Alligator mississippiensis: one gene and its partner. The protein of the gene in region 2 purifies or fractionates together with the protein of the main gene of each other region. This does not show direct contact. Links are inferred from orthologs where the notes say so. Each region holds a gene or a part of one and is shown on either strand. Other genes may lie near its edges.

The links. Proteins that work in one complex are often made in the same cells at the same time.
Region 1: the proteins of CDH5 (region 2) and CTNND1 purify together in Homo sapiens (affinity purification with western blotting; 3 studies listed by BioGRID and IntAct, counting the BioPlex papers as one, with this or other methods). This does not show direct contact. The link is inferred for Alligator mississippiensis from reciprocal best matches to the Homo sapiens genes CDH5 and CTNND1.

What each region holds. Positions count from the first base shown.
Region 1 is NC_081825.1:172,458,334-172,465,385, reverse strand, and holds the start of CTNND1 (catenin delta-1), read left to right. Parts: upstream 1-4,052; 5' UTR 4,053-4,192; exon of another isoform or gene 4,193-4,487; 5' UTR 4,488-4,567; intron 4,568-7,052. UniProt on the Homo sapiens protein: Key regulator of cell-cell adhesion that associates with and regulates the cell adhesion properties of both C-, E- and N-cadherins, being critical for their surface stability.
Region 2 is NC_081833.1:63,086,164-63,093,499, forward strand, and holds the start of CDH5 (cadherin-5), read right to left. Parts: upstream 3,041-7,336; 5' UTR 2,858-3,040; intron 1-2,857. UniProt on the Homo sapiens protein: Cadherins are calcium-dependent cell adhesion proteins. They preferentially interact with themselves in a homophilic manner in connecting cells; cadherins may thus contribute to the sorting of heterogeneous cell types.

The DNA of each region.
Region 1 (7,052 bases), on a different chromosome or scaffold from region 2:
GCACAGTGGGACTGAGCTGTGAGTGGCTTGTCTGGGGGGGTGCGGCTCCTACCGTTGCGTGCACCCTGGGAGGCATGGGGGCATGTGCCCCTGGATCTGCATGGGGCAGCCCGCAGCGGCAGCCCACCCTGCCTCACACAGATCTGGAGGCACAAACTCCCCATGCCCTCCCGGGGTACATGCAGTGGTGGAACCCTCCACTGCCTCCCTGCAGCCCCTGGACGAGCCACAGCCCAGGTCCTGTGCCCTGGTCTGCCCCAGTTGGGCAGCACCTGCCCCAGCCCCACTCCCTGCCCCCAACCCTTCCCTCGCAGACTTACCTGTTGCAGTGGGGCGCGTGCACATGCTCAGCCCCCCCCCCCCCAAATTTTTTTTTTGTCCCTATGCCAATGGAGAGCACCAAAAACATCAGCAACCTCGGCTTGTAAGATGGTGTGCTAGGGGTGGATGGTGGGGGCAGCTGCCAGGAGCGCAATCCTTGTTGTGGCAGCACAGCCCCAGCCCCTTCCCCACTGTCCGCCCTGAGGTGTGCGTGCCAAGCAAAATGCCTTTGTGTGCTACACTCTGCCACCCATGCCAAGGGTTACCTACCCTGATGTAAAGTTTCATAAGCAACAGCGTACTTAAATGCTACTGGGGATTACCCATTTCAAATATATGTAGCCTATTTCCCCTACCTCATTCTTGCTTAGCAGTGGCATGCACATTTATTTATTTTAATCTTTCTCCATAAATCAGCCATACTCTCCCAATCGTTCTTCCACTGCCTCCAGCTTGCCAACACCTTTCTGCTAATGTATTATCTAGAACGTAATTATGCAGACAAATAACCTGACAGCTGGGGACAAAGTGGCTTCACGTTACCTTTGTGTCTTCTTGATTCTGAGGCCGGCTTGAACATATATGTGATAGCACTCTGCAGACTCCATATCATTGGCAAATTCACAAGCAGCCAGAATGGTTCAAAGGAGCCATTGTGGACCAAAGAATCATCCTAATATTAAAGATGTAGCTACATCACAATTGCAGCTGAAGCTGCCACGTTTTTGTCCTTTGATGTAATGTGCTCAGCCCCAAATCATGGCAGCCTCTTTTGCTTCCAAACTCATGCCTAATTTCAGCAATGACTACTGACTTCCATTCCTAGATCTTTGAAAGCACTAATGCTTCCTCATTTTATTAATCTCATGCAGCACTGAATTTTGGAATTAGGTTTCTTCTGACAGTTTGTTAAACCTTATGCTGTCATTTCCTGCCCATGTCTCTAATCTCTCTAGATCTCTACATTTTTTGCTGTGACAAAGCGATGTTTGCAACACTTCTTGATTTAGTGCCTTTAAAGTCAATAGAAGCGGTGTTGTGTCCTTTGTATCCTCTGTTGATTTAATAGGCATGCTGTTTACATCTGATACCTTCCAGATCTACCTGAAATATATCATTAGCACAAGGCCAAACAGAGATCCCTGCACCCTAATTAGATGTCCCTCCACAAACTGATGCTTATCTCATCATTCTGTTTATCATATGTATGCTGATTATTTTAATTTGTTTACAGACCTTGGGTCTTCAATATACATAGCCTTGACTACAAAAGGGATTTTCTGTAATTCTCCTGCCATTGCTCCTTTTCCTGGTGGCATTCCCCTGGTGTTAGACAGAGTAAGTTTGTGAGTGTAGGTGGACCACTGGTGATTTTACCTTTGGGTCATCTAGACTCGCTGTGAGCATGATCTAGAGGTAAAAATGGATGTGGCTAGTCTATGCAGGAGCGCTCACTGTTTCCCCTGCACTTTCAGTGCAGTAGATAGGCAGAGTTGTACCAAGCAGATCTTTTTTTGAGCTTGCATAGAGGCAAGAATTGCATGCTAAATGGCCTGGGCTTATTTGGCAGCAGCCTGGCCCAGGTTACATGCCTGAGCCACACTGAACTGGGGCTTAGCCTACACTACAGGATAGCATAGTCTTGCTGAGAAGACTTTTGAGTACCTAGAGTCTAAGTTCCTCTAGATCAGTGGTTCTCAACCTTTTTTGTACCAGGACACATTTGTAAACGTTTGATGGCCAGTCCTGACCCAGTGTCCCTCACTCCCAACTGGCTGCCCCCACCCCCAGACTGTAACCTCTCAGGGTGTGTGTGTTTGGGGGGGGGGGGGGGGGGGGCAGGGTGCCCAAGCAGCCCCTTGCAGGCTGGACCTCTGTCAGCCTGTAAGGGAAAAGCCACGCTTTCCCACATTTTTCTTCTTTAAAGGAGAATCCATTTTTAAAGTTTGTTCGTAATCCTTTCATATATTCTCATGACCCACTTTTGGGTCGCAGCCCATGGGTTGAGAAATGCTGCTCTAGAGTGACAGAATCCCTCCTCCTGCCAACAGTTACCCAGCTTCTCGAGTGGAATATGAAGAGCACCCTGGGCTTAAACCAGAGAATAAAAGGATTGCTATCCTTGAAAGTAAGGAGCATCTGGAATTTGCCCAGTGAATCAGATAGAGGACCTCATCTTTAAAGGTATGGAGCATCCATTACTCTCAGAGATTTCACCATGTACTATTTAATACAGCGGTTCCAAATCTGTGGTACAGGTACCACCAGTGGTACGCAGACAACCTGTCAGTGGTACGCGTTACCAGATTTATTATAATGACTTTATATGACAAAAATTTGCTGGTGGTACTTAAGTTTGAACTGAAAAATTTGCTAGTGGTACTAAAGGTTGTATTGTTTTTAATTGGTGGTGTGCAATCTCAGATTTTGGGAACTACTGATTTAATATATAGATTTAGCCTAGTGGCTGTTTACACAGTGATAATCTTCATTGCTATCTTGGTGCTAACTAGAGTGTAGGTATGTTAATATTAGGGTCAGGCCTGTACAGGTTGAATCAATAACCACAGCATCCAGACTTGACCCTGCTCCACTTGAAGTCCATGATAATTCTATTTTTGATATTCCATCCCACCATGTGCATTGTTAAATAAAAACTAAAGCACCTAATAAAAAAATCCTCTATTTAGAACTGAATTTTCACATAAATATTCAAGCCATGAGTCCTTCCCAGCAACTCCCACACTTAGCTAAGTGCTATCACATAGCACTAGTTCTCTCACAGGTTGGCACTCTTAGAAATGTAATCAAAGCAAACATCCTTCACAGCCACAATGCAAAAGTTTAGAGCATTTTTCTCCCTCTCTGTATTAATTGGTGGTTTGTAAATGTAATTTACAAGCTGTGAAGTGTATTGAATTAGTAATAGAAATTGTATTGAATTATACAATACAATACAGTAATACAAACTGTACTGAATTAGAAATACAAATCAAAGGAGCTCTCTTCTTCACTGTTTTTTAGGAGAAAGCAGGGAGTGAAAATTCCTAATCTGCTTTACCCAAAAATCAGTGTGCTTAATTGCTAGCAAAAACCTCTGGTTGAAATAAAACAGGAAACCACCCCTCAACCAAGATTTGATGGCAACTCTCACAATCTGGGCTCATATAGATAAATGTAGTCTAATCAAGGTTGCATTTCAAATCTCAGCCTCTCTTATCGGTTGATTATAAGCATGTTTCCCAACCCTCCTTTTTGCAATTCCCGTTCTCCTTTTGGGGTGCAAAGGAGGGAGGAGAGCACAGGAAACAACTACAAATATGTATTTGAGTTTGCCAACACAGAGAGAGGAGTGAAAGAAGGGAAAGAAAAGACAAATGAAGAGTGCTGGTAGCTGAGCCACATCTATACCCTAATGATTATCTTTTCAAGTTTGCTTTGTCTTTTCTCGCAGCTATTTTTTATTTCCTGCTCTGATTTTGTTTTCAGTTGTCTTCACCCAAAAAAGTTATTTTTCTGTCCCTTCTTACTCTCTCGCGCGCCCCTCTCCACCTTTCCTTTTTTGTTTTTTTTCCTCATTTTTTCCCCCTTTTTTTTTTTTTTTTTTTTTTTTTTAATTCCTAGACTAAAGTTTCCTATTGGATGTTTTCGGGTCCCTGATTGATGCCTGCTTCCCATTGGAGCTTTGCAGAAGCTGACATCACTTAGGGAAAGAGGGGTTGGGTTGGCAAGCTTAGTTTGTCACCACCCAGCTTGCTTTGCCTTTGGCTGGGTGCAACTTCCATTTTAGGTGTTGGATCTTGAAAGAAGGGGAAAGAAAAAAAAACCGCCAGAGAGAAAGAAAGAAGAGAAGATCCCAGGCAAGGGAGAGGTGGAAGAAGAGATTGCCGCTTTGCTCTTTTTAAATTCATTTGATCAGGGATTGGGCTCTCGTTTTCCTGTTAGGGATTTCTTGGGAAACTCGACTTTAGAGTTCTTTGGTGTGGCTTTTTTTTGTGGTGCGTGTGTTTGTAAAGGGCGAAAAGAAGGCTTCCACCCAGGGTCTTTTTTTGTTGTTGTTGTTGGATATTGTCATGCTGAGATATTAAAGAGAGGAGGCAGAGGAATAACCCGGCTGACAACTTCTCCCCCTCCCTCTTTCCATTTCTTAATCTGCTGCTTTGAAGAGCGGGGGAAAAAGATACAAGGAGGAGAAACCAACTTGGAGACTCTTGTTGGTGCAACTTTGAGAGGGGAGAAAGCCAGGGTAAGACTAGTTTCTTTCTTTTCGTTCTTTTATTGTTTTAAATGATGGTGGTGGCTGCTGTTGGTTTTTTAACTATTTCTGTTCTGGGGAGGTGAGTGTATCTGATGCAAACTAATACACAACTCCTGGACTGCGGTGTTGCAAGAGGGCTGATTTTATTTATATATCTATATTTATATATAGATATCCCCTATGTTTCCTAGGGGAAGGAATTCAGTCATGTTTAAAAAGGAAGCTTCAAGTTTGTTTGCACTAAGTAGGATATTTCTTTTAAAACTTTGGGAAAACTGAGAATTTCAGGGTGTGTTTTTTGTTGTTGTGTTTTGTTTTGTTTTTTTTGTTGTTTTTTTTTTAACTTGGTCAGGTCTCTCTTTTCAAGTATTCTCACTGGGAGTGTGGTTAAGCTGCTTTCTCCAGTACATTTTTTAGACCCACACTTTCTGCATGGGTGGATCCCTTTTTTCTTCCAGGTATAGTTGGGTGGGGACCTTTCTCTTAACCTTCTAAAAAGAATCCATGTTGAAGGAGAACTTCCCTCTTGATTTTTTCCTTTTTTTTCTGGGGGGGGAGGAGAGGAGGGTGAAATAAATGCAGGAGGTTTTTCCCTACCAGCCCCTTCAAGGATTCCAAGCTCTGATTGACAACTTGCTTGTTGACTTGCTCGCTCTTTCCCCCCTCCAAAAAAAAAAAAAACTTTACTGTTTTTGAAGTGTGTGGTAACTTAAGCACAGTACATTTTTTTTTCTTCCTTTAAATTCTTTCAAAAGATCATATACATTTGGTAAATGGGATGCATCAAAATAGCTTGGTAAGCAAACAGGCTTGAGTCAGTAATGTAGGAATGCAATGTAGTAAGATTTAGATGGCATTTAAAAGAACATCTACTTATACTCCCCGTAACCTGCCTTGAGCTCTTGTAGTTTTGTCTGGCATGGTGCTGTGATTTGGACTTGTTGGGTTTTGCTAAGAATGTTATATGAAAGCAACACACTAGGGTTTAGGATCCCCTGGTAGTGATAGTATGGGGTCTTTTTTCCCACCTCTCTAAATTTTGTAATTTCACCATAAAAAAGAGAAGTATCTAGTTTCAGTTTAATTGTGGCAGGCTAGGGTAGGGAACTAGACTGTGCTTCTGTATTCAGAATCATTACAGGGAATGCAGTGTGTGCTTAATGTAACAGTTCTGGAAATATGGTATGCTTTCTTTTCTCGCTTTGCTGTGCTAAGATGGTAATGCCTTATCTTAGATGACTAGATTTCATAGCCAGAGATTCTTGGAGGGGTGTGTGTAGGGGGGGATTTTTCTAGGTGAAGAAAACTAGGTCCTGGACCCCTTAAGACCCTTGTCTTATTCTGTATAATTAAACACCTGCCTCATTTCCCCCCAGCAAGGTCTTGGATATAGCAGAACAAGGAAAACGTTGTCCTACTTCAAGCAAATGTTTCTAGGGCTATTTGGGAGTGGTCCCTTTCAGTCCTGGGTTATGCTTTGGCATCTGTGGGGAAAGACCATCGAAGGCACTCTGAAAAGTAGTTTCAGAAGGATTGTGTCTTGTGGTAAAGGAGCAGCACAGTGTTGAGAGGCTTGGCTTGGGGTCTCAGCCTTTCAGTTTGCTTTGTATTGCTGTCTAACCCCCCCCCAGTTCCTCACCTCCCATGTCAGACATTTGACTGGGTTCTGGCGTGTCACTACTTTGAGCGAGGCATGAACTAGGAGGCTTTTCCCTCCTGCCCCCAAAACAAAGGAAGTTTGTGTGCCAGCCTCGCAGCTCTCTTGCAAGGGAATGAGAGAGTATAGCTCATCAGACAGGCATTTAGCATTAGAACAAGGGTTGTCTGGTGTTACAGACAGCGTCCTGTCTTTCTTCCCTGCTCTCTCATCATAATATTCCCTTTGTGTCAGAGGAGGGGGTAGGGGAGGTTTCTTATGTGTTGGGAGCAGGGAGTATTTTGGTTATGCAGATCTTTGGGGGCTTCTGAGCAAGGAAGGGGGTGGCTAGGGCCGAGTATCCTGAACTTTAAATCTTTTTTTTTCTGTGATGCTCAGGATCTTAATCTGTGTGGGAAGGACGAAGGGATCGGCTTTGTGCATTTGCAAGGGGGAACTCCACGTAGACCAGGCTTAACAATTTTAGCTCTGCCCTGGCTAGCTTATCTCTCTTCCTACTCTGTCTCCTGCTGTCTAATTTGCCTCCTCTTCCTTTGTTCTTTCAGGGAAGTGAATTGTATGTCTAGGGAGGGTCAAAACTATTGGGTGGAGCTCATCCTTGCGAATGGGACAGTTCTGATCTGAAAAAAATCTTCCTGATACCCTGACTAACAAGCGATGCTGAAATTCCCTCAATAAAAGAATAACTGCACAGCCGGGGGCCCTGGGTTCGTCAGGCCATTTTTCTTTAGGTCTTACTGGCAACACCTTCATCTGGTAATATCTGTCCCTCCTCCCCCTTCTGTGCCTCTTGTCCTGAGGGATTGGTGTCATCTT
Region 2 (7,336 bases):
CTCCACAACACCACTAGAAGTTATTAACCTGATTGTACAGCAGCGCTGAGCAAACACCCTCTTCTCTTAGTAGTGAGCCAAACTAAATTTGGGGTCTAGACCTAAGCAGGGTGTTTTTGATATTCACATACAAGTCTGATTCTGGAGGGACTTTTTCAAAGGCATCAGTGGGAGGTAAGAGCCCAACTGCCACTTTGAGTTGATGTGAATTGGGTTTCTGAGTGTCTTTTTGTGCCTTTACAAATCTTCCCCCTCTGTAGCTTGGCAAATCTCCAATTTGTACAAATAACCAGTTTCTGACACATAATAGTGCAGGAAGAAAACTAATCATCCCAGCATGCGTTGTGTGATAAACTATTAGGGCTCATCTCATTTTAAACATCCAGGAAAGAAGAATGGAAAGTACCCTGTCAATCTTATGTTTTTTACCCAGCTTGAAATATTCCCACTTAACACAGATATCTCATGAAGTTAGCAGGAGAGATTTTTTTTCTTTTCCTGCTTGCCATTACAATTTGGACCTTTCTGAAATAAATTTCTAGAAACCAAAATGATGAAAAGATGGCTACAGTAATCATATTGATTAATCACTTTTAAAATATGTCATAACTAAACATTAATAGGCTTTCCCTTCCACAAAAATAATGCACTATCTGCTTGCTTTAAGTGTTTTAGATAAGTAACCTGACAACAAAAGGTATTTCTATGATTTTTTTCTCTCTTTTTCTTTTGAAAAGGGAAAGTATTCTCTTTTGAATATTAATTTATATTCTTATAGTCTATCTTGGTAAGGGCTATAAACCAGATGAGCTTCTGAGATAGAAAGTATACAAATCCATGTACTTATATCCTGTTTTGAGCTGCTCTATTCCTCTCAACAAAAGCAGGATATGAGACAGGCATGTTCTTTTGGCAAATATTTTTCAAAGCTATTAACTATTTAAATGAAAATTTCTCTGCATCTACTTCTCCTTGGGTATTGAACCTAGCTTTTGTTCCTATACAAAATATCCAGATTATTCAATGAAATAGATCTGTTGTGACTCAATTTGCATTTTAAATATTGAAATGAAGGTTTTAACATAATGTTGAAGTACTATTGTTATAAAATGGAAAGCATCAGCTGAAAAATATTTCAGTTTGCAGTGCAGTTACATTTCCAAAGCCAAATAAATCTGAGCACTCCATACAGAGCTCAGATTAGCATCAGAGTACTGAGAGTTTATTTTTTGTATTCCAGTTCATTTGTTTTATTGCATGCAACCTCTTTGACTGTTCTCAGTAGGTTGTGGGGAACGGAAACAGAAGAAACCTAGCCTTATGTCCTTTTCTTCTTTAGTTTGCCCCTTGTTTCAGGATTCAAAGCCACCCTTAAAGATACCAAACCTTTTTAAAGCAAGCATTTGTATTGCCGTATTAGTTGTTTTGATTCATAGTATTAATTAACATGTTAAGATTTTGTATATATCTTGAGTTGCTTCTGTTAATAGATTTTCCTAAATTTTCCCCACAAGGAATCACAGGGTAGGTGCTTTTATAAATGTAAATAACAACTACTATAATATCAGCAGTTATAATCAGAAGAGGCAGAAATGAATCAAATAATCCTACTTAAGTTAACTTCAGTAGCAGCCAACTTCAATGCTTTGAATAGCTGAGACTTCTTCAGGTTTTCTCACAAAAGTTCAACCTATTCTGTCTTTTTCCTGAAGCCTTCATTTTTTCCTTTTCTTTATACAGCATTAAACACAGCACAGTAAGGCACTATATCTCCTGACGCATGGACTATAATTTCAACCCAAAAAGATGCATTTATTCATCTCTTATTCATAAACATTTGTCTTTGCAAACTTGTTAGTCAAGGGATCTCCTGTGTAAAACATTATATGCTTATGGCAGCATAAAAACCCTTTCAACTGATGTCTTGTGTCACGGCTTTCTTCATGAAATAACTTACCAGAAAACATGGTAAATTTGGACAGCTGAAAGCCAGAGGTTTCCTAGAGAAATCTATGAGGTTTTTCCCCTAGTTGTTAAATGAGTGTCATACAACTTGAATGATCCAAGGTAACATTTTCAAAAGTGCCTAAACCAATTAGGTGCCTTAGTTTCATTGAAAGTTAGTGGAGATCAGGCTCCTAAAATGCATGATTCACTTTGAAAATAAGACTTAGGAGCATAAGTCACTTAGCTGCTTTTGAAAATGTCACTAAGTCTTTAAAAGTGAACCTCCTGTCATACAGATCTGCCTAGTGGCAGCCAATGAACATAAGAGGTGCTATCCTTTGGTTCTTAGCTCCAACCGTACTACAATTCCACTATTTCATTTTGAACAGAAAAAGAATGCCAAGGACCTATGCAACCTTCATCCAATATGTTTATGTCTAAAAAAAGCAAGATATAACATCGTGTATTCTAGTTCAATGACAAAATATCAAGCCTATTGCTGTCTGTAATGCAACTGGAATCCCTTCTTAAAGGGTCCCCAAGTGCAATTTGTTGCATTGATTTCTGTTTTTCTGTTTTATTGAAAACATCTACTGGCAGCATAATTTGATCATTTTGAACCAAAAGAATCACTTCTTTGAGTCTAAATATTCTTCACAGTCTGGGACCATTAGATGCAGATGTAGAGAAACCGATTCTCCTCTCACTTCAGTGTTAATTGGCAGTAACTCCATTGGTGTCAATAGTTATTCTGCCAGCGATACTGGGCCCCAAGGGTGCTCTAAATACATCTAACATGCAGAACATGAACTTCAGAATCATCAAATAACTTCAAGCCAGTTCCAAAGTGTCAGCTATCTGGGAGGAAAAATTCTTGAAATTAAAAGTAATAATATCCTCTGTCCCTTACCTGATCCCCAGGAGTTGGTGAAGCTTCAGTTTTATCCCAAATTAAGAACATGAAATGAACAATATCCAGAAATCATGAGCACCACTCGGAGAGTGAGGAACAGATATAAAATCAGGATTTAATTTCACTAGGTAATACTGGGAGTGTTCAGCTTTCCAGTCTCCAAGGTTTCCCAGCTGGGGGTCAGCTTTTCCCATCCTGCATCCCTGCATCCTGTTATTGTTACAAACCTTAGTAATGCCAGTGAGAAAAGGGAGTGGAGGAAACAAGATAAACTTAGAGTCATTTTGCTAGACTTGCCTTTCAGAGGGTGTAACAAATACATATCTGAATAAAAGGAAATGGCCTGTAAGAGTAATATAAAGCCAGTGCTGTTATTTAGTATCTTTCTTACTGATCATTTTCATTTTAGGGGTTATTAAAAATCCTAACTTAGCACTTGTTTTTATTTTTATTCTCACTATTTGAAGAGTATGGTCTCCGGCTTATTTTCAGATTTGTTTTCCCATCAGGCAGATGGGAGTGTTTTCGTCTCTCCACCAGGATTATTCCACCACCCACAAAGGCTGAAAGTCCATCAAACAGGAGTTCTTATAAAAAGTTTAAGAGCCAATCTTTGCTAGTGTGAGAGGACTGGGATATATTGAAATTCTGGGATGAGCCGCATGCTGGTCTTGGTAACAGCTGTACAGATTTGATAGATCTGGCTTCAGCAAATCAGAGAACAGAAATTGGTTGCAAGTCTCCAGCCCAGTGCCAACTTCTTTGCCTTGCACTTTATGTAATGATCCCAACCTGTGCATGGTAGACAAAACACTGTTTAGATTTTATGGACTATTCCAGAAGTGGAAGTGATGACCCAAGATGTAAGGCAGTAGAGAGTTGGGCCCCAAGATTCACAAACAAAAAATCTTAGGAGAAGAATCACTGAATAACATGTATTGCCTTCATTGTATTAGAAATTTTCAAGTGGAGGAATTTTTGGGAGAGAGGAAAGGGGAAAAGATCAATGTTCCAAGAGGAGAGCTTGTGTTATGCTAGCCAGCTTGATTTGCTGTTTAATTGCAGACCAATGAGGGTTTAATTTTGGCCTCAGTGACTGCAATGAGTGTTGAAATTCTTGAAATTTAAGGTAGGATATAGACCAGTGAGCTCAGCATGATAAGCAGATGGGCCTTCCTACAGCTCAGGCAGAATGCTGTGATCCTGCTTTTGAACAGCAGAACATGCTTTACTTTTGCTGCAGCTTAAAAACAAAGAATGTCTATACACTATTTTGTATGTTTAAAGGAGGAGGAAATTTTAAATTGACTAATTCAGGAGAAAGTCTAAGAAACACGAGTCAACCCCCCCCCCCCCAAACAAACAAACAAAAAAACAAAAAACAAAAAAACCCCAACAACCCCAAACAACCAAAAAACAAAACCCAACTAATTTTGAGGTGTTGTCACCACATTGTGATGTATGTTGCACATTTGGTGACATTTCTTACGGAAGGCTTTAAATAATAATGATCCAGAGTTAAGTACTCTCACCCCTATTCTTCATCATGACTTAGCACAGGTAATGGGATTGATTTCCTAGCTTTCCAGAAGACTGAGCTTTGGTTACATTACTGCACATTTTTATGACATGCAGCAGCAAAGACAAATGACTGTTTTAAAATTTTGATACATTAATTATTCAGGAAGGTTAAGCAACTAATGAGGGGACATTTTTCAAAACCTTTTTTTAAGGAGACTGATTACAATTAAGTTTCCTTGCAATAAAATAAGCCGCTCCTATTTCATTGCTGAGGAAAAAGAAGAGGGAGAAATGGAAAGGATATTGCTGGGAGGTTCCCAGTGAACTGTAGTTATCTGTGGAGGATAGGCTGGTACCCAGGGCAGACAACAATCCTAGATATCATTTACTTTTGCAAATGATTTCAAGTGTGTTTGACTACTGACGTCCTTTGATCTTGGTATCTGTGGAGAAAACATGCTTGTTAGCTAGCCTAAACCAAGAATGGGGAAAAGAAAAGAGAGCTCATGTTCCTTGATTTAAAAAATATATGCATCTTCTACAATGGTGCTCTTTAGTTCTGCAAGTGCATACAGTTGGATTGCTGTTCTATCAACTTAAGGACCTTAGAGCCTGATATAAAGCGTGTAATGATTTTTCTTTGCCTTTATGGGCTATGAATGAGTCCCATTGTAACAACCTGGTTGTTAGTTAGATTTGATCATCCAGGTCTTTCTTCCCATGCATGTACTAGAACAATAGGTCTGAAAGGCAGCATTGAGATCCATGATTTGGATCAGCCAATTTTTTGTCAAGTCAGTCTTGAGGCCACTGGGATCATTGGGGCACTTTAGATGCTGTAACAACTAGGGCTGTGCAAAATTTCGCCAAGTGTTTTGTTTCGAAGCTGTTTTGACACATTTTGAGCTTGAAACAGTGAAATTGAAATGAAACAAAAAGCATCAAAACAGTTTTGAAATGAAACGAAGGCACTCAAAATCTTTTGCAAGTTTCAAAATGTTTCGAGTTTCGAAGCAGCCCAGTGGTGGGAGGCAGGGGAGAGCCAGGGCTGTGCTCCGAGCGGCTCCGCAACCCCATGTAGCTCAGCCCAGCGGGGAGCGCAGCCCTGGCTCTCTCTGCCTCCCACCACTGGGCTGTGCTCCGTGGGGCTGGTGGAGCTGACCAGAGGGCAGCGCCAGCTCTACCCACCTCCCACCTCTGGGTTGCGCTCTGCTCGGCTCAGCCAGCCCCATTGAGTACAGCTCGGCGCTGGTAGGTGGGCAGAACCAGCTGGCTCCACCAGCCCCACAGAGCACAGCCCCAGCTCTGCCCGCCTCCCACCACTGGACTGTGTTCCGTGGGGCTGCGGAGCTGAATGGAGTGCAGCGCCGGCTCTGCCCACCTCCCGCTGCTGGGCTATGCTCCGATCAGCTCTGCCAGCCCCATGGAGCTCAGCCTGGCAGTGGGAGGTGGAGCACAGCACTGGCTCTGTCCACCTCCTGCTACTGGGCTGCGCTCCATGGAACTGGCGGACCTGATCAGAGTGCAGTGCCGGCTCTCCCCGCCTCCCACTGCCAGGCTGTGCACCAGTCGGCTCCGCCAGCCCCACGGGGCCCAGCCCCACTCTGCCTGCCTCCTGCTGCTGGGCTCTGATCTGTTCTGCCAGCCCCATGGAGCACAGCACTGGCTTTGTTTGCCTTCCTCCTCAGACAAGTGACAGAAGCAATTTTCTCTGGTGGTGGGTGCAGCCTGCACCCAGCGCTGGTCCCAGGTGACAGGGCAGCCTCCTCTCATCTGGGGTGCAGATCTGGAGGCTTCCACCCCCGGGAGGGCTGCCAGGCTGTGCCAGACTCTTCCCATGGGTACGAGCCCCCGGATCTTCACGCTGAATGAGGAGAGACTCAGGCTGCCCAGCACCGGTCCCAGGTGGAAGGGGAAGCCTCCTCTCATCTGGGGTGCAGATCCAGGGGCTCACAGCCCTGGGAGGGCTACAGGGCTGTGCTGGACTCCAGGTGTGCGAGCCCCCAGATCTGTGCTGGATGAGAGGAGACTAAGGCTGCGGCAGCAGCAATTTTATCCAGTGCTGGATGCAGCCTGTGCCCAGTGCCAGTCCCTGATGGGATAGGCAGCCTGAGCCTCCTTTCATCTGGGGTGCAGATCCGGGGGCTTGCACCCCTGGGAGGGCTGCTGGGCTGTGCCAGCCTCCTCCCGGAGGTCCGAGCCCTTGGATCTGCATGCCGGATGAAAGGAGGCTCAGGCTGCCTATCCCATCAGGGACTGGCACTGGGCACAGGCTGCATCCAGCACTGGATAAAATTGCTGCTGCCGCAGCCTGAGTCTCCTCTCATCCTCCACTCTGAGGTTAGTTGAGTTGCTCTGCATCATCGGTGATTCTTTGGGCAAAGTGATCTGGTGGTGCTCATCTCCTCTCCAGGCATGGATGACATTTGGCTCACAGGGATCTCATGCCCTTTGACAGGCCTTGTTTTTAGTTCGCTGGGTGTCCACATCCCTCCTCACCCAGACTAGCCCAGGTTGGGGTGCCAGTTTAGTCGCCGACAACCTGGCCATAGAACAGGCTGTATTGGTTTACGTGGTACCAGATAGTAGACCAAGAGAAGCCTGGCCTGACAGGTCAATTTATTATACTCCTCTGAAAAGTCCTAGCGAGTTTAATGTTTGATGTCTTTATAGACTTTTTCAACCATTGTATGCAATTTAATGGAGAATTAGTTCAGAATTCTGTGGGGTACATGGACTGGATTAGAGAAATATTTCTCGTATAACCCACTTGCATGTCCATAGAACCCTTTCATATTATACTCTGGGTTTCCTCTCCGCTGAATTCTGTCGGACTTTTCTTTAAGAGATAGTGATGACGTGATATGCACTTGGGCATTTTAAGTTAAACATTCTTCTCCAAATAGAAAGCAAAGCTCCTAACCTTTTAGGCTCTTAAATCACCAGTTTAAGTCT